4 linked regions of the Neurospora crassa OR74A genome follow. The protein of the gene in region 4 purifies or fractionates together with the protein of the main gene of each other region. This does not show direct contact. Links are inferred from orthologs where the notes say so. Each region holds a gene or a part of one and is shown on either strand. Other genes may lie near its edges.

The links. Proteins that work in one complex are often made in the same cells at the same time.
Region 1: the proteins of tim23 (region 4) and iap-1 purify together in Saccharomyces cerevisiae (affinity purification with mass spectrometry; 3 studies listed by BioGRID, with this or other methods). This does not show direct contact. The link is inferred for Neurospora crassa OR74A from reciprocal best matches to the Saccharomyces cerevisiae genes TIM23 and YME1.
Region 2: the proteins of tim23 (region 4) and eat-5 purify together in Saccharomyces cerevisiae (affinity purification with mass spectrometry; 3 studies listed by BioGRID, with this or other methods). This does not show direct contact. The link is inferred for Neurospora crassa OR74A from reciprocal best matches to the Saccharomyces cerevisiae genes TIM23 and COX13.
Region 3: the proteins of tim23 (region 4) and fes-1 purify together in Saccharomyces cerevisiae (affinity purification with western blotting; 3 studies listed by BioGRID, with this or other methods). This does not show direct contact. The link is inferred for Neurospora crassa OR74A from reciprocal best matches to the Saccharomyces cerevisiae genes TIM23 and RIP1.

What each region holds. Positions count from the first base shown.
Region 1 is NC_026502.1:979,497-983,450, forward strand, and holds the start of iap-1 (intermembrane space AAA protease IAP-1), read right to left. Parts: upstream 2,801-3,954; 5' UTR 2,601-2,800; coding exon 2,574-2,600; intron 2,484-2,573; coding exon 420-2,483; intron 360-419; coding exon 1-359. Other genes in the region: NCU10376 (hypothetical protein), read left to right, coding at 3,343-3,524, 3,639-3,954. UniProt on the Saccharomyces cerevisiae protein: Catalytic subunit of the mitochondrial inner membrane i-AAA protease supercomplex required for mitochondrial inner membrane protein turnover. The protease is probably ATP-dependent. Important to maintain the integrity of the mitochondrial compartment.
Region 2 is NC_026501.1:1,850,572-1,854,162, forward strand, and holds eat-5 (encodes anonymous transcript-5 protein), read right to left. Parts: upstream 2,202-3,591; 5' UTR 2,006-2,201; coding exon 1,834-2,005; exon of another isoform or gene 1,772-1,833; coding exon of another isoform or gene 1,747-1,771; coding exon 1,722-1,746; intron 1,432-1,721; coding exon 1,264-1,431; intron 1,115-1,263; coding exon 1,069-1,114; 3' UTR 514-1,068; downstream 1-513. Other genes in the region: eat-6 (anaphase-promoting complex subunit Apc5), read left to right, coding at 1-513; NCU01961 (DNA lyase Apn2), read left to right, coding at 2,728-2,755, 2,817-2,829, 2,885-2,930, 2,990-3,591. UniProt on the Saccharomyces cerevisiae protein: Component of the cytochrome c oxidase, the last enzyme in the mitochondrial electron transport chain which drives oxidative phosphorylation.
Region 3 is NC_026504.1:1,785,251-1,789,104, forward strand, and holds fes-1 (ubiquinol-cytochrome c reductase iron-sulfur subunit), read left to right. Parts: upstream 1-1,155; 5' UTR 1,156-1,362; coding exon 1,363-1,636; intron 1,637-1,961; coding exon 1,962-2,050; intron 2,051-2,172; coding exon 2,173-2,323; intron 2,324-2,444; coding exon 2,445-2,626; 3' UTR 2,627-3,354; downstream 3,355-3,854. Other genes in the region: dim-8 (DNA damage-binding protein 1), read left to right, coding at 1-295, 364-675. UniProt on the Saccharomyces cerevisiae protein: Component of the ubiquinol-cytochrome c oxidoreductase, a multisubunit transmembrane complex that is part of the mitochondrial electron transport chain which drives oxidative phosphorylation.
Region 4 is NC_026503.1:3,607,791-3,611,314, forward strand, and holds tim23 (mitochondrial import inner membrane translocase subunit tim23), read right to left. Parts: upstream 2,242-3,524; 5' UTR 1,996-2,241; coding exon 1,330-1,995; intron 1,260-1,329; coding exon 1,209-1,259; 3' UTR 501-1,208; downstream 1-500. Other genes in the region: NCU00372 (hypothetical protein), read left to right, coding at 2,981-3,129, 3,228-3,524. UniProt on the Saccharomyces cerevisiae protein: Essential component of the TIM23 complex, a complex that mediates the translocation of transit peptide-containing proteins across the mitochondrial inner membrane.

The DNA.
Region 1 (3,954 bases), on a different chromosome or scaffold from region 4:
GGCAGGCCCGGCTCCAGGGTGTCGCTGGGCTTGGGAATAGCCATAGGCCCTGGCGGCACCGAGATGCGATCCTTCAACTTCTCTCCCCGAATCACCCTCTCAACTTCCTTCTTGTCCAGTGTCTCGTACTCGACGAGCGCCTTGGCCAAGTAGTCGAGTTCGTTCCTCTTGGAGGTGAGCAGGTTACGCGCACGCTCGTACGATTCGTCCAGAACTCTCTTCACCTCGGACTCAACCATCGCCCTGGTCTCGGAGCTGAGCTGGTTGTACTTGCGGAGGTACTCAACGGGGCCGAGCTTCTCAGACATGCCGAGCTGAGCAACCATCTGCCAGGCGGTTCTGGTGGCCATGTCAAGATCCTGAATGCCATGTTAGTTAACTCGTCTAATCAAGTGGAACAAGGGGAGGGGAGAACGTACAGCGCTAACACCGCTAGTCACAAGCTCGTTACCATAGACAATCTCCTCAGCGACCTTGCCGCCCATGGCACGGTCAATCATACCCAAGTAATCCCTGACAGTAAACGAGTGCTTGTCCATCTCAGGGAGGTAGGCAGTGTGGCCAAGAGTCTGGCCACGTGGAAGAATGGTGACCTTGTAAAGCGAGCTTGCGCTGTCCTTGGCGTAATATCCGACGAGGGCGTGACCAGCCTCATGATAGGCAGTCATCTCCTTTTCCTTGGCTGTGATAACCATACTACGCTTCTCAGCACCCATGATGACCTTGTCCTTTGCCCATTCGAAATCCTTTTGAGTAACAGCCTGAGCCTTCAACTTGCTGGCGTGAATAGCAGCCTGGTTGACAATGTTCTCCAGCTCGGCACCAGAAAGACCAGAAGTTCTGGAAGCAATAGCCTCCAGGTTGACATCGGCAGCAGCCTTGATGCGCTTGGCGTGGTGCTGGAGAATGGCCATACGGCCGCGGACATCGGGAAGAGAGACAACAACATTGCGATCGAAGCGGCCGGGGCGGGTAAGCGCCTTGTCAAGGGACTCGGGGAAGTTGGTGGCGCCGATGATGATTACACCACTGTTTTGCTCGAAACCGTCCAACTCGGTAAGAAGCTGGTTGAGAGTCTGACGTACGTAGGTAGCGTCCCTGGAGTTACGCCGGCCACCAATAGCATCAAGTTCGTCGATGAAAACAATTGAGGGAGCCTTGGCCTTGGCGGCGGCAAAGAGATCACGAACACGCTTTGCGCCAACGCCAACGTAGACCTCTTCAAACTCGGAACCGGACATGTTGAAGAAGGGAACGCCAGCTTCGCCGGCGACAGCACGAGCCAAAAGAGTTTTACCAGTACCGGGGGGTCCCACGAGCAACACGCCCTTGGGGAGCTTGCCGCCAAGAGTCGAGTACTTCTCAGGGTTGCGCAAAAAGTCGATAAGTTCCTGAAGCTCTTCCTTGGCCTCATCACAGCCGTGGACATCAGCAAAGCGAGCCTTCTGGTTCTCAGGCTTGACCTCGCTGGCCTCAAGCTTGCCACCGGGGCGCTTGATGCTGCTCAAGCCCTCGAAAACCATTGTGATGACGACCATGCTGAGATACGTGAAGAGAGTGAACCACATGAGAAACTTGACCCATCTGAGAGCGGAGCTTCCGAAACTTTCGTCAACTACGATATGCAGAGGACCCGTCTTGGCACCAGCAGCGATCGGCTTGACCATGGCCATGTTTCCACCAGTATGCTGAGCAGCAGCGGCAGTACCAGCGGCATGGATCTGGCTAGCGGTGAAACCGGAGGGGTGATAGCCATTGTTATCGACGGTGTTGTTCGCAGGCGTGTAGGGTTGACCGGTAGACATGGCAAGGGCTTGCTGGTAGATCTGGTCTACCTGCTCGTTCGTGGCGAAACGTCCAGACTGATACCTTTCGATAATGATAGCAGGCATGTTCGCCTTGAGAAGAGCCTGGTAGAAAGCATACTGAGCACCGGCGCTGGTTGGGAACTGGTTGGCAGCGGCCTCGCGAGCAGCCAGGAGGTTGTGCGAGAGACCACCGTTTCCAAAGCTGCGGACCTGGAGAGTGAAACCGAGAGAAGAGTGTACTGGCGAGCGGAAGAAGGACGGAATGCGACCGGGCTGGTGGGTGCTCATGGACCGAAGGGTGTTGACAGTGCCCAGGGGCCTCGACATGAGCGCCGAAAACGAGCGCCGGAAGAGGGGGTTCGCCATGGCGAGCTGGCGGGAAGACATGCTTGAGATTTCCGAAAAGATGTTTGTAGGCGAAGCATTTGCTAGACCCTGAGAGACAACGGGCTGGGGTAGAGGCGCAGTTCTCAGGAAGGCGGGCAGCGCCGAGGAGCTGGAAGCTTCGCGCGCGGGGGAGCTAGCAAGGGTGCGGGAGGCGTTCGAAGATGCTGTCGAGACGTTCGAGTTGTAGGAAAGCCGTTGTTGCGCCTTAAGAGAGGTCGGTAACCCGAAGGGAACGGTCAGGGTTGTCGCGATGGAAGGCCACAACTCGGTGGTTGCCGCCGCGATGGTCTGGCAGGCGCGCGGAGGGGTCAGCTTCATGGAAGAGGACGGCAACTTAAGGTACTAGCTAGTCTAAAAGACGGATTGCGCAAGACTTACCGGCAGCCCACTTGCGTGGAAAGCCATGGTGGATTGTTTACACCCACTCTCTCTCTGTTTGCGACAGACGGATGCGAAGGAGCGGAGATCTCACAATGACCAGGGCAAACCTAAAGTGTTGGTGGTGGAAATGACAGTACAATAGTCAGTGCCAGTCAGTCACTCAGTGGCGGACTGCAGCAGATGCAACTGAGTGGACGCGGCGGCGGCGGCGGAGAACGAAACGGTTGGGTGAGCAAGTTGATTAGCTGATCAAGGGCCATAGTGCCGCCTTAAATGCTGATGCCGCCGTGGCAGGTGGCAGCCGCTTATTCTGTAACGCAGAGTCAGTCGCTGTCAGTGTTCTCGCCACTTTGGACATCTGGCCTCCCGCACTGCTACACTAAAAGCTCGGTGCGCACATTGCCCCACAATGTTACGTAGTTCTTAGTTACCTAGGGAGCAATTATGCACTAACAGGTGCGCCGACAGCGCAGTCTCGACACGTGATTTGGCGTCTTACACGAGGAAAAGTCTCGTCGCGTCACGAAACTCGGTCTGTTCTGTTTGTTCACTTTGTGATTCGAGAGGCTCATGGACTGACTTAATCATAAACAACTTATTCATACACATGTTAGGTTCGAAACATACCTAGCCTACCAGGAGTACAAATACAGCCATTATTTTGAAATTAAGCTCACTTCTCAACAAATCACCACCTCCATTACTGAATCTGAAGAAGAAAAAAAATACAAGTAAACAAATCACCTCCTAAAGTGTGGAAGCCAAGATGAATCGCTCTATAGAACAGGCGCTCTTGTCACTTCTACCAACCCACAACACGACTCTCCCACAACCACTCGTCGATCTCGCCAGCTCACTCCTCGCCCAATCCCGCCATCGTGCAAGCACACTCAAAGCCGAAGAGGAGATTGCACGCACCTATGCCTGCGCCCACCTGGCATGTGACAGGTACGATACTGCATCTCATCATCTCGACTCATGCCTTCACATCTCATCTCGTCTCAGCCTTACTTCACCTTTTGTCTGTGACTATACAAAACCAACACTAACACATGCTCGCAGACTCAAAATAACCCTGAATCTCCCCCCCATCGACCCCCGCCCTCCCATTCCACCACGCATCTACAAGCGCCTCTGCTCCCACCTCTCCAATATCCTCCCCTCCACCTCTTCAACCCCCGGCCGCGGCGGTGGAACCCCCAGAAAAGCAGAACAAACAACCGCCGCCACTCCACGCAGCCAACGGACAGTCAAAACCCCTACCTCTCGACTTCGCGACCAGCAACATCGCGCTGATGACCTCACTGCCTCCCCCTCAGCAGGACGTAGCGCGAGGAGTAATCGATCAGCTGCTACTGGCAGGACGACGACTCCCGGC
Region 2 (3,591 bases), on a different chromosome or scaffold from region 4:
GCGTGGCGTGCGCGGCTGCTCACCCTTCTCTGGCAGGCGGTTGGCGCTCTGGCCAACATACTGAATGCGATGGGCGAGTTCACTGCCGCTGTGCAGCTAGTAGAAGCAGTGCTGCCGCGCTCGATGGAGTCGGAGAATGCTTTCAACACAGGCATACTGTATAGTATCCTGGCGGATGCCAGGATGGGACAGGCTGGAAAAGCTGCAAAGGCCAGGCAGGCGATGACGACGACGGGAGAAACAACAGGAGCGGCGGCGAGCTTGATGAGCAACAAAAAAATCGACCTCTTTACGAAGGCACACGAGGCGCTGGAGTGTGCGTTCAACCACTTCTCTGCGGCGGAAGATCTGGAGAAGCAGTGCGAGACGTTGGCGAAGAGGGCGACGCTAATGAAAGTGCTGGGGGATCATGCTCGAGCGGAGGAGTATGCGGCGCGGTATATGGCATTGAAGAGGCAGAGCTCGTCGGGCGAGCATTCTAGTGTATGGTCGACAGATACAGGTACGCCATAATATGGTTTGGGTGGGGCTCAGTAAAGCTCCGGTCGGACGTTTTTATGGAGCAGTTCGGTTGTAATGACTTGATGAGGAATGGAGAATATTGTCGCTGGCCATAGAGGTTGATGTTTGATTTCATCGAACATGGCGCGGATGTGTGCCCCTTGTTTTGTGTCTTTATACCCCTGGTAGAAATGGAAGGAAGCTATGAAGGCTCACTGCACTTTGTCTCATGGAGATCCCCAGCAATAGCAGTAGAACACTGTTTTCGTCCTGCACATGGGCTTCCATCAAGAATAAGATCATATGGATGTCAATGCGAGCCTTTACAAAGGCTGATATCAGAATACAAATAAATTGATATGATGATTGCGGATCAGTAGACGTGGTGGTGCCTCTAGCACTCGTCCTGTTCTTTCTTTTCCACACTTCATTCACAGTCCCATGCCACCTGCTCTCACTACACGCTAGCTGTCCCAATTCTCTTTGCTTTCCAATGATCCAGGGATGATGCCAGTCTAGCAAGCAAGAGCACAGATGGTGCTTGTGAAGCTCGCATCAACAAGCCACTTACGTGACCTTGTCGCGGTTGTGGTAGTTGACAGACTCGTTCCAGCTAAACAGAGTTGGTATCGGTCAGTAGTTGTTGCCATAGAATGAGGCTCCTTCGATGGGGCGGGCTCGACACGCTCAAAGCTCCTTCGTTCAGAAAGGCCATGCAGAGATGCCCGCCGGTTGTGCGAGCTTCGGATGGGTTAAACGTACAAGAGAGTCTTGTCACCATCGCCCCAGGGGTAGTTGCGGGTGCGGATGTTCTGGTAGGGGTACTCGGTGCGCTCCTCAAGGGGAGGGAGGTGGGACCAGTGCTCCCAGTGCTCGTTGTAGAGGGTGTAGGCGTTGTATCCGGCGAGGGCGAGGGCAGGGGGAATGCCGCTGGGAGAAAGGGTGAGTTTCGTTAGCTTATTGTGTTCCATTCCCCTTTTCTGTCCCCCACTCAATCAAGCATTCCGTAGATGTTGACTGTTGATCCCCTTCGTCTTCTCGGCGGTGCACGTCGGCTATGACGTTGGTGTCATGCGCTCGTCGTTGAAGGCGGGCTCCGATCGGAGCTCGATGGAGCTTCATTTGAGCTAGCTGAAGTTCCAATTCCTTCAGAGTCCGAGGGGTCCATCCGGGAAAAACCACGCAGCGGGGATTTGGGGGGTGGGAGGAAATGCGCATACTAGAGAGAGATCTTGCGCCAGAGCTCTATATGGCGACTCCCGGTTAGCATTTCCCGTCCATCGATAATCGGGGTCGGCAATTGACAAGGGCGGGTGGTGGATTAGTGCGCACCGGTGGTCTCAGCGGCGTGCTGCTTGACGGCCTCACGCTCGCGGACGAAGGCGTTCTTGCCGGACTCGTTGGCAGGGGTGCTGGCGAAGCGGCGCTGGACGGTCTGGCGGACCGCGGGGGCGCGAAGGTTGGCGGCGAGGCGCGCGAAGAACATCTGGCGTTGGGCGAACATGGTTTCCGTATTCGTTGTGGTCGACTACAGGTGGTTCGGAGGAGGACTGGTAACGAGGTGGATGCGGAATCAGCAGCAAAGGTTGTAGCAAGCTGGCCCCACTCTTTTCCTCCTGCGCTTGGCGGCTTCTCGTGACTCCGGGTGCGAACTGAGTGAGGTCAGAGACCGATCAGCTCATTGCTCAGTTCGACCTCGGGTGCGTGCGTGGGTTGCGGCTGCTCATGGGGTGTGGCTGGAGTGCACAGACAGTCGAAATCAAGCCACAGTGCCAAGTGCACGTTCCCGTTGAAAGCTTGAGTTGCGCGAGCAGTCGGAATGACGAAAGCAGCTGCCTGTCAGGTGACTTCGTGTGTGGACCGCCCAATTCACCTGCGTAATTCAACCGCACGAGCCAATCGTTCGTTTGTGGACGCCGCGAACTACTTGGCGATGGCTTGGCAGCTAGTGACATCGTTGGTCGTTTGCCGCAAGGTGTGGCAAACTCCAAGAGACTGGGAATATCGATCGATGTAGCGACGTGAGGGAAAGATCAATTGTTCCCGAGACCTGAAGCTCTTGCTCATGCGAAGCCGAACATCGAAGACGTCAGCCCATGTCCCTCTGCTTCTCGTGTGGCCATTGCAATTACAAGCGCCGCATCCGGCGACCGAAGTGACTTTGTTGTGCTATAAACCTGGTAGATCTAGAGAGCTACCTTAGCATCAGTAAAGGAATATCTGAAAATGGGGTTACGGATCACGACGTGGAATGGTGAGATCCTCTTGCGCGTTTTTGCTGCGTTTTGCCTGGTCTAACTCAAACCAATGTGTAGTCAATGGTATCAGGTCGGTCCTAACACGACAAGCCGTCCCTATGAACCAGCTCTGACCCTGCTTCAAGAAACCCATTCAGTTACCAGCCATGGCGGGAGAACCGCACGTTTCAGGTGGGATCAAGTTCCCTATTCAAAAGCCCTATCTGGCCGGATGCTCTAACACAGTGAAGGCCATGTTCGACACCTTGGACGCCGACATTGTGGTCATACAGGAAACCAAGATTCAGCGGAAGGATTTGAGAGACGACATGGTCCTCGTCCCTGGCTGGGATGTGTACTTCAACTTACCCACGTACAAGAAGGGCTACTCGGGAGTTGCAATCTACACTCGTTCCTCGAAATGTTGCCCGATACGCGCCGAAGAAGGCATTACTGGCGTTCTGTGTCCGCCGAACTCGTCCACAAAGTTTCGCGACTTGCCTGCTGATCAGCAGATTGGTGGCTATCCCACTCCCGGCCAACTCTCCAGCGACATAGACGAAGCTCAACTTGACTCCGAAGGAAGGTGTGTCATCTTGGAGTTCCCTGCCTTTGTTCTTATCGGTGTATACAGCCCGGCCACGCGAGACGAGACCAGGATCGAGTTCCGTCAGGCCTTCATCGACGCCATGGATGCCAGAGTTCGTAACCTTGTCTCCTTGGGGAAAGAGGTGTTTCTCTGCGGCGACCTCAACATCATCCGAAACGAGATGGATACCGCTGGTCTACCAGAACAATTGAAAAAGGAGGCCATGACACTCGACCAGTTCATCTCGACCCCTTCGCGCCGGTT
Region 3 (3,854 bases), on a different chromosome or scaffold from region 4:
CAAAACCGGAGGGGAGAAGTCCGAAGCCCCCAAGTTGGTAGAGTGCGCGAGACACAGGCATTCTGCGTGGGCAACGGCCGTGGCTCACGTTGAGGGCGAGTCTTGGCTTGAAGCTGATGCCAATGGCAATCTGATCGTGCTTCAACGCAATGCTGAGGGCGTGACAGTGGAGGACCAGCGGCAACTGAGGATAACAAGCGAGCTCAACCTGGGAGAACAGGTGAACAAAATACGCCCGATCAAGGTCGAGACTAGCCCGAACGCCATCATCATTCCTCGAGCGTTCTTGGCCACGGTAAGTTGCCTGTTTCTCAGATTGATCATGTCACAAGGTCAAGGCTAACAATTGACTTGATAAAACAGGCGGAAGGCGGTATTTACATGTTTGGTACGATTGCGCGCGAACAAGACCTCTTACTTCGGTTCCAGGATAAACTGGCGGCGGTGATCAAGACAGTTGGCGAACTCGATTTCAACTCCTACAGGGCATTCCGCAATGCGGAAAGGGGGCCCGAGGCAGATGGAACGACTGGGCCGGTCAGGTTCCTGGATGGGGAGTTGCTGGAGAGGTTTTTGGATGTGGATGAGAAGACGCAGAAGGAGATCTGCGAAGGTCTTGGGCCGAGCGTTGAGCAGATGCGCAATATGGTAGAGGAGCTACGGAGGATGCACTGAGCCAACGGTTAGACACTTAACGTGCATGATTGGATGTCTACAAGTCATCGCTTTGGCTGCTGAAGATTTTGGCAGTTGCAAGTGTTGTCAATAAGTGCTGTGCTCAAAACATGGCTGCATAGGGTGAGAGAAGATGAGTCTGTGAATAGCCTCAGATGAACGAATGAATTATGTATGATCAATAGATCAATTGACATCACTGTCTTGGCACCCTTGGCTCGCCGAGTCGCTGACAGTTCAAGTTGTCCGGGCGCTGCGGTGACGCGCTGAGGTGAGCCCCACCACCACCATCACCACCACCAACAGGACGAACCAGGCGACGGAAGAAACCGGAGAGTGGACGAACAGGCAGTCACAGCCAATCAGGGCCGGCGCATTAAGTAGCTCTCTAGCTGCTGGGCGGACGCTGTGGTTGGTTAGTGCCTCAGGCCACAAGCCAGTAGCTATGGCGGTTTCCCATGCCGGGAAAGGTGGGAACCAAGCTCGGCCCAGAAAAACCTCAGTCCGTGATTTTGGCCTCGTCGTCTCGACCGCATTACGCAGCCGTCAATTCCGTCTCCGGAACACCGCCCACGTCCACCGTCCTCCCGCGACTCCGAAAGAGCAGAACCTCGCTCGATCTCCCCGCTCTCGCAACCCCCTCTCTCCGCTCCGACCTCTGTCCACGCGAGTAATTCTACCGACACAATGGCGCCCGTCTCGATCGTTTCCCGCGCCGCCATGCGCGCCGCTGCCGCCCCCGCCCGGGCCGTTCGCGCTCTCACCACCTCGACTGCCCTCCAGGGTTCCTCGTCCTCCACCTTCGAGAGCCCCTTCAAGGGCGAGAGCAAGGCCGCCAAGGTCCCCGACTTCGGCAAATACATGAGCAAGGCGCCCCCCAGCACCAACATGCTCTTCTCCTACTTCATGGTCGGCACCATGGGCGCCATCACCGCCGCCGGCGCCAAGTCCACCATCCAGGGTGAGTCTTGACTTGATGGGATTTGAGGAGGAAGCTTCACACATTCCTCGAGGTTGGGGAAAACAAAGAGGTGGCATAGGACAGATGGGTTCGGGTCAATGGGATTCGACAAGGGGGTTCTGTTATGGTGGGGCGAGCTATCTACGGTTCCGTCTCATCGATCACCAATTTGCGACCACTATGACAACTTTCGATATCGGGGCGGATATGGTTGGACCTTGGGGCGATGTTGAAGCATGGATACATGGGGAAAATGCCATCTTGCACATGCACCCACGAACACCCAAGAACTAAAGACAGCTGACGAGGCGACCGTGTTATACAGAGTTCCTCAAGAACATGTCGGCTTCCGCTGATGTCTTGGCCATGGCCAAGGTTGAGGTTGACCTCAACGCCATCCCCGAGGGCAAGAACGTAAGGATCCCTACGAAACCGGATTAGCAAAGGCTTGGGCTGAGCTGAGCTGGGCACATCGATTCCCGACGACGATCAAACCATGATGGAATGCTGACCCCGGTCTTTTCCTACTTTTACAGGTCATCATCAAGTGGCGTGGCAAGCCCGTCTTCATCCGTCACCGTACCCCTGCGGAGATCGAAGAGGCCAACAAGGTCAACGTTGCCACCCTCCGTGACCCCGAGACCGACGCCGACCGTGTCAAGAAGCCCGAGTGGCTCGTCATGCTTGGTACGCCCCTCCATGTCCCTCTTTGCGATCCGAACAAGACGAAGGATAGCATTTTTGGATGCTCAGATCCTGGATACACGACGATGTGGGGAGACTGACATTTGGTGTGTGAACAAAACAGGCGTCTGCACCCACTTGGGTTGCGTTCCCATCGGCGAGGCCGGTGACTACGGTGGCTGGTTCTGCCCTTGCCACGGTTCTCACTACGATATCTCTGGCCGTATCAGGAAAGGACCTGCCCCTCTGAACCTCGAGATCCCTCTCTACGAGTTCCCTGAGGAGGGCAAGCTTGTCATTGGTTAAGCGAGCAAAAAGACAAAACTTTCCGATTGAACAAACAAGACACAATTTTTAACCAAACCTACTAGGGAATCCTCTCGATATTCCCTTGTCCACTTTTTTTTTCCCTTGCTGCCCGAGAGACGATGACAGGGAGAATTGTATTAGTACGGGGGTATTGCGACAAAGGGCTTGAGTGGAAGCATGTCATAGACCATAAAACGGGATTTTTGTTTTCCGTGGTTCTTGACGCGGTTTCGTACGACTATCCTATAGACAGAAGACACACATACGCATACACAACAGCAAATCAGGTGTCACGGTCGATCATATGCGCTCGAGAGTCGGAAACTTCTATATACTCAGAACTGCGTTCTTCACCTACGCAACCCTACATACCTATTATTGGTGCTGAGCTTGGCGCTAGGTTGCTGCTGAGTGTTGTACCCTTGCGTTTTCCTATAGACTGGCTTTGTAGAAAATCCTATTGTATGAGAGGCTCACTGGAGCATGGTACCGTGAGAAGGTCTTCCTCGACCCATGGCAGTCGGCTGTGGCTAAGAGCTTTGTGAGGAAACCATAGGTCAGCTGATGAACCTCCCAATGCTAACGCATCTGATCATCCAACACGGCATTGGTAAATACAAATGGCCTTTTATGCGGGTGTGGGACAGACAGGCTACATGTCGAATTGCTGGAGAGCAGCTCGACCAGAATTACAGATGTTGACAACTTAATCTTAGCTTGGCCAACCTTGCGAATCAAGCCCAGTCGGTATACCCGCCCGTGCTACTCTGGTAGCTGAGTTAAGGAAACGCCCGCGAACCGGTAGCTTACCCTGGTTGTTTCATTGACGTCTGAGGAATTCTCCGAACGTAATTATATCTGAAGCCCGCCTTAACATCTTGTGCGCTACTCAAGCCGACACATAGTTAGTGCACTACCTCCAACCATAGCCCCTTGCCAATGCTGGCCGGGTGGGTTGCAGTCTCATTGCAGGGGCTAGGTTGTACCCCCATGCGCTCCCCCTTGCTCTGAGTCTTTTTCCCCCACAAACAAAACAACCTCATCTTTTGAACTTCGCCTTCCCGGGCGCGTCTTGACACAGCTTTCTCACTTCTTCACCAAATTCTCGAAACCCCTCACCCTTGCGGCTCAAAGGGGCTGCTCCTAGGGTCATGTAACAAGCGAAGTTCCATCGTTCGTCTGATCTGACTTGCCGACTACCCGAGGCACCATGGCGGCCACGATT
Region 4 (3,524 bases):
GCTAAAGTGTTCTGTTGGTATACTATCGAGTTTTTGTATATTCTTCAAGTGGCTTTCTATGGTGGTTTAGGAAGAAGGTGGGGATACATTACACGTTACATATGATCATGTCGAGCTCGCCTTTCTCCTTTTGCAACAGCATCCCACACCAGGAACCAAATGATGTTAGCTCGATCTTGTTATAACCAAAGATATGGATGGGAAACTTGCTTTATTAGTCTTCGATCTTAGAGAAAGCAATAACGGGATTCGTAGAGGGACTTAGCATAAAGAGGCAAGCAAGGTTATTATCGTTACTGCCACTTGTAGCTCACTAGTCTGTCGGTTATCGAAGAATTGATTTTCCTCCCTGTCTTGATCTCTCTGCTTCCATGTATTGAAACTGGTGCTTGCCTGTTGTTCTCAAGCCAAAGATTTGCATGGGGAATACTCGAGGAACAATGTGCGTACGGTTTCCAGTTCTGTGGCAAATAGGGAATTCGTCGGAGATGGGCCTTATCCTAAGAGAGTGGATATGTTCATTCGTAGTCCTGCCCCTAAGTCGCTTCGAACTTTGAACTCACACCTGCTTGCAGTCATTTTCGACACCAACGTGTGGCAGGGTGACATGCCCAATATATCCCACACCAAACATTACCTCTCTATTATCTTATCATAAAACCCGGAGCCAACAGTCATGTACAACCCGCAATAGACTCAAAGTTTGAATGAAGCCTGCCGCAATGCCCCATATGCCCAACCAGGGCGATTGCGCTCTATGTCCATATGATCCGCTATAATACATACAATTTTCCACACACGGGGAGGAGAGAGATGAGACTAACCCTTGCGCTATGCACCACTATGCACACACCCTGCCCTTTGGCCCCTCTTCCATGTCCTGCCTTGTTCAAGCCCTGCCCAGCCCAGTGTCGCTTTATTTTCGTTCTTCCCTCTCTTGTTCGTACACATCCACCAGTTCGTGTCTGCTGCCCTTTTGCTCCGTGTTGAACCAAGGACACACACACATCTTCATCGCAGTGGTCTTCCGTGCTGGTGAGAAAGACACTGGTTTTCTTCTGTCAGTTCTCTCGAAGATTAAAATAATAGAGAAGGCTGGCTAGCTATGCACTCTTTTCATGGAGCAACGATAGATGGCCAGAGAGTCGTGGGATGAAGGGAACAGAAGATGACTTTTTTTGTTTCCTATTTCATTCTTCGTCCCCACTTCAGTCAACCTCGTTGGTCTGGGGGGAGGGGAAGAACGTCCTCCTGGCGACCTAGTGACACAGTAAAGTTAGCAAGGTGTATTTCCAGTCTACGCCTGCCATACGAAAAATGGTGACATACCGCCCAAGTACCGGCTATCGTCGCAACAATACCACCCGAGATCATCATGGGCTTCAGACCCCTGGTGCTCTTGAAGAGCATACCACTAAGCGCACCGGCCAGGATTGAGTTGGCGGCATCGTGCTTGCCCCTCACGTAACCAATGCCGGCGTTGATTAGGTTGTAGCAGATGGCGACAACACCAGCCGAGTTGCCGAGGTAGGGACCGCGACGGGTGACAGCGTTAAGGACGGAGTTGAGGCGCAGCTTGGGCGGCTGGCCGGCCGATCTCTGGAGACCCTCTTTCAAACCCCACGCGCCTCCGATAGTGAGGGCCGTCAGGTAGGTGATACCGGTTCCGTAGCAGAGGTCGTCAGTGAAGCCGCGCGAGGGCAGAACTGAGGCGCCGGCGGCATCGGGCAGCGGGGTATCCTCAAGCGAGATGTATTCTAGTGTTTCCTTGTTGAGGCCGGCAAGAGGGTGTAGTTGTGTGGGGTCGGCGAAGGAAGAGCTACCGAGAAAGGCCTCGACACCTTGGGGCTGGCTAGCATCGAAGGGCGAGGGATATGAAGGAGCGGAGGTGGTGGTGGTGGTTGTCTGAGGTGCGCTGGGGGCGGGTGCGGCGGGCTCTTGCTGCTCTTGCTGCTTCTTGTTGCCTCCGGTGAGGGTGTTCCAAAGGCCGGACATTGTGACTGAAGTGGAGGGGTTCGATGGGTTATCGGATCGTTAAGCAGTTGGGGAACACGAAGCAGATAGACCGCGTACTGCTGCGCGCAAGAGTGGTGACGGGTAGCCGGAGGGAAGGGTGGGTGGGTGGTGCCGTCGGCAAACGAGTAAGCTATCGTATCTTCGGGGGAGTGACGGACGGGTCGGTGGGCGAGACGGATGGGATCTCGAATTGGCTCCGGCTCACGCGCAACTTGGACCGACGCCTGTCTTGGCCCCCGATAACGTCGGAACTTCGAAAAAATTTACCTCTATGGCGCCCGCATGGCCCGTGCGAGCGATTGGCGTCATATGTACCTCTACATATGTATATACATGCTCTGGGGCTTTGATTTCGGGGACATGTCAACATGGCGAAGTGGAACTCAACCGAGGCTGTAATGAAGAAGACCTTATTGAAAGGTCAACTGCAGTACATCGTGGGCATCTGAAGCTAGACTACGCCTTGAACAGATATATTCAACGGATTCTCCATGTTCCCATTCCTGCTTTCTCAGGACTTCTTCGCCTTTGGATCTTTTACGGGGACGGTTCGTTCGTGGGGATTCTTTTACTGCTACAGTGCAGGGGTATCTCTTGACATGGCGGCAGGCAACTTCAGACCCAAAACAAGCACGGTGGCCGGAGTGGATTCACCCCCAGAACATGCGCAGTGGATGTAAACACACAGTGGGTGATGCTATAGGCCTTTGAAGATCCCAAAATTTCACAACTCGTCGCTCATACTTTACACGAGTGCCCAGCAGAGAGGTGGATTACTTACTATCACAGTAACTTCAGGCCCTCACTAACTCTCACTGGGGGGCTCATTGACGGTCAGGCACTTACCACTCTTCGCTCCTTCTTTATTGCCTCCCTTTCCCAGTCATCATCACTCTGCAACGAAGTCTCGGATGCACGTCTAAACCCGGTCCCTCAATCATAACTTCCCTTTTGGACTGCGGGGATGGAGTCAACCCAAGTCCAGCAAAATGCCCCCGGCAGCAGCACCATTGACACGGACGCTCTGCTAGCCGGACTGGGCCCCGAAGTGTTTGAAAATGCCAACACCATCACCAAGTGGCTGTTGTCACAACCCACCGAGTCACTCCCAGCGTAGGTTTCTTTTCTTTCGGATATCTTCAGTGTCCAGTTATTCTTTGTGAGAAGTTCTCAATCACACATATACAGACATTCACTAACACCCGTGTTAGCATCGCACAGGCAGTATTTGCCAAGTTGTTCAGCAATGCCTCTGAGTCTCGCCAGTATCACGGCAACGGTCACGATGTCGTAAGGCTCTGCAGCTTTGTTCAGCAATGCGCCAAGGCCAAAGACGAGAAGCTGAAGGAATGGGCCTTCACCGAGCCCGTCTCAACGAAGCTGTTCCATTTCTACCTTGAGTGGTATGAACACGACCCGCATCGTGCCCTGAGACTGATTCTTGATGTCCTTGTGGCCTCGGCGACCATTAATCCCAAACCCGAGACAGGGAAGGCAGTGAAGGAACA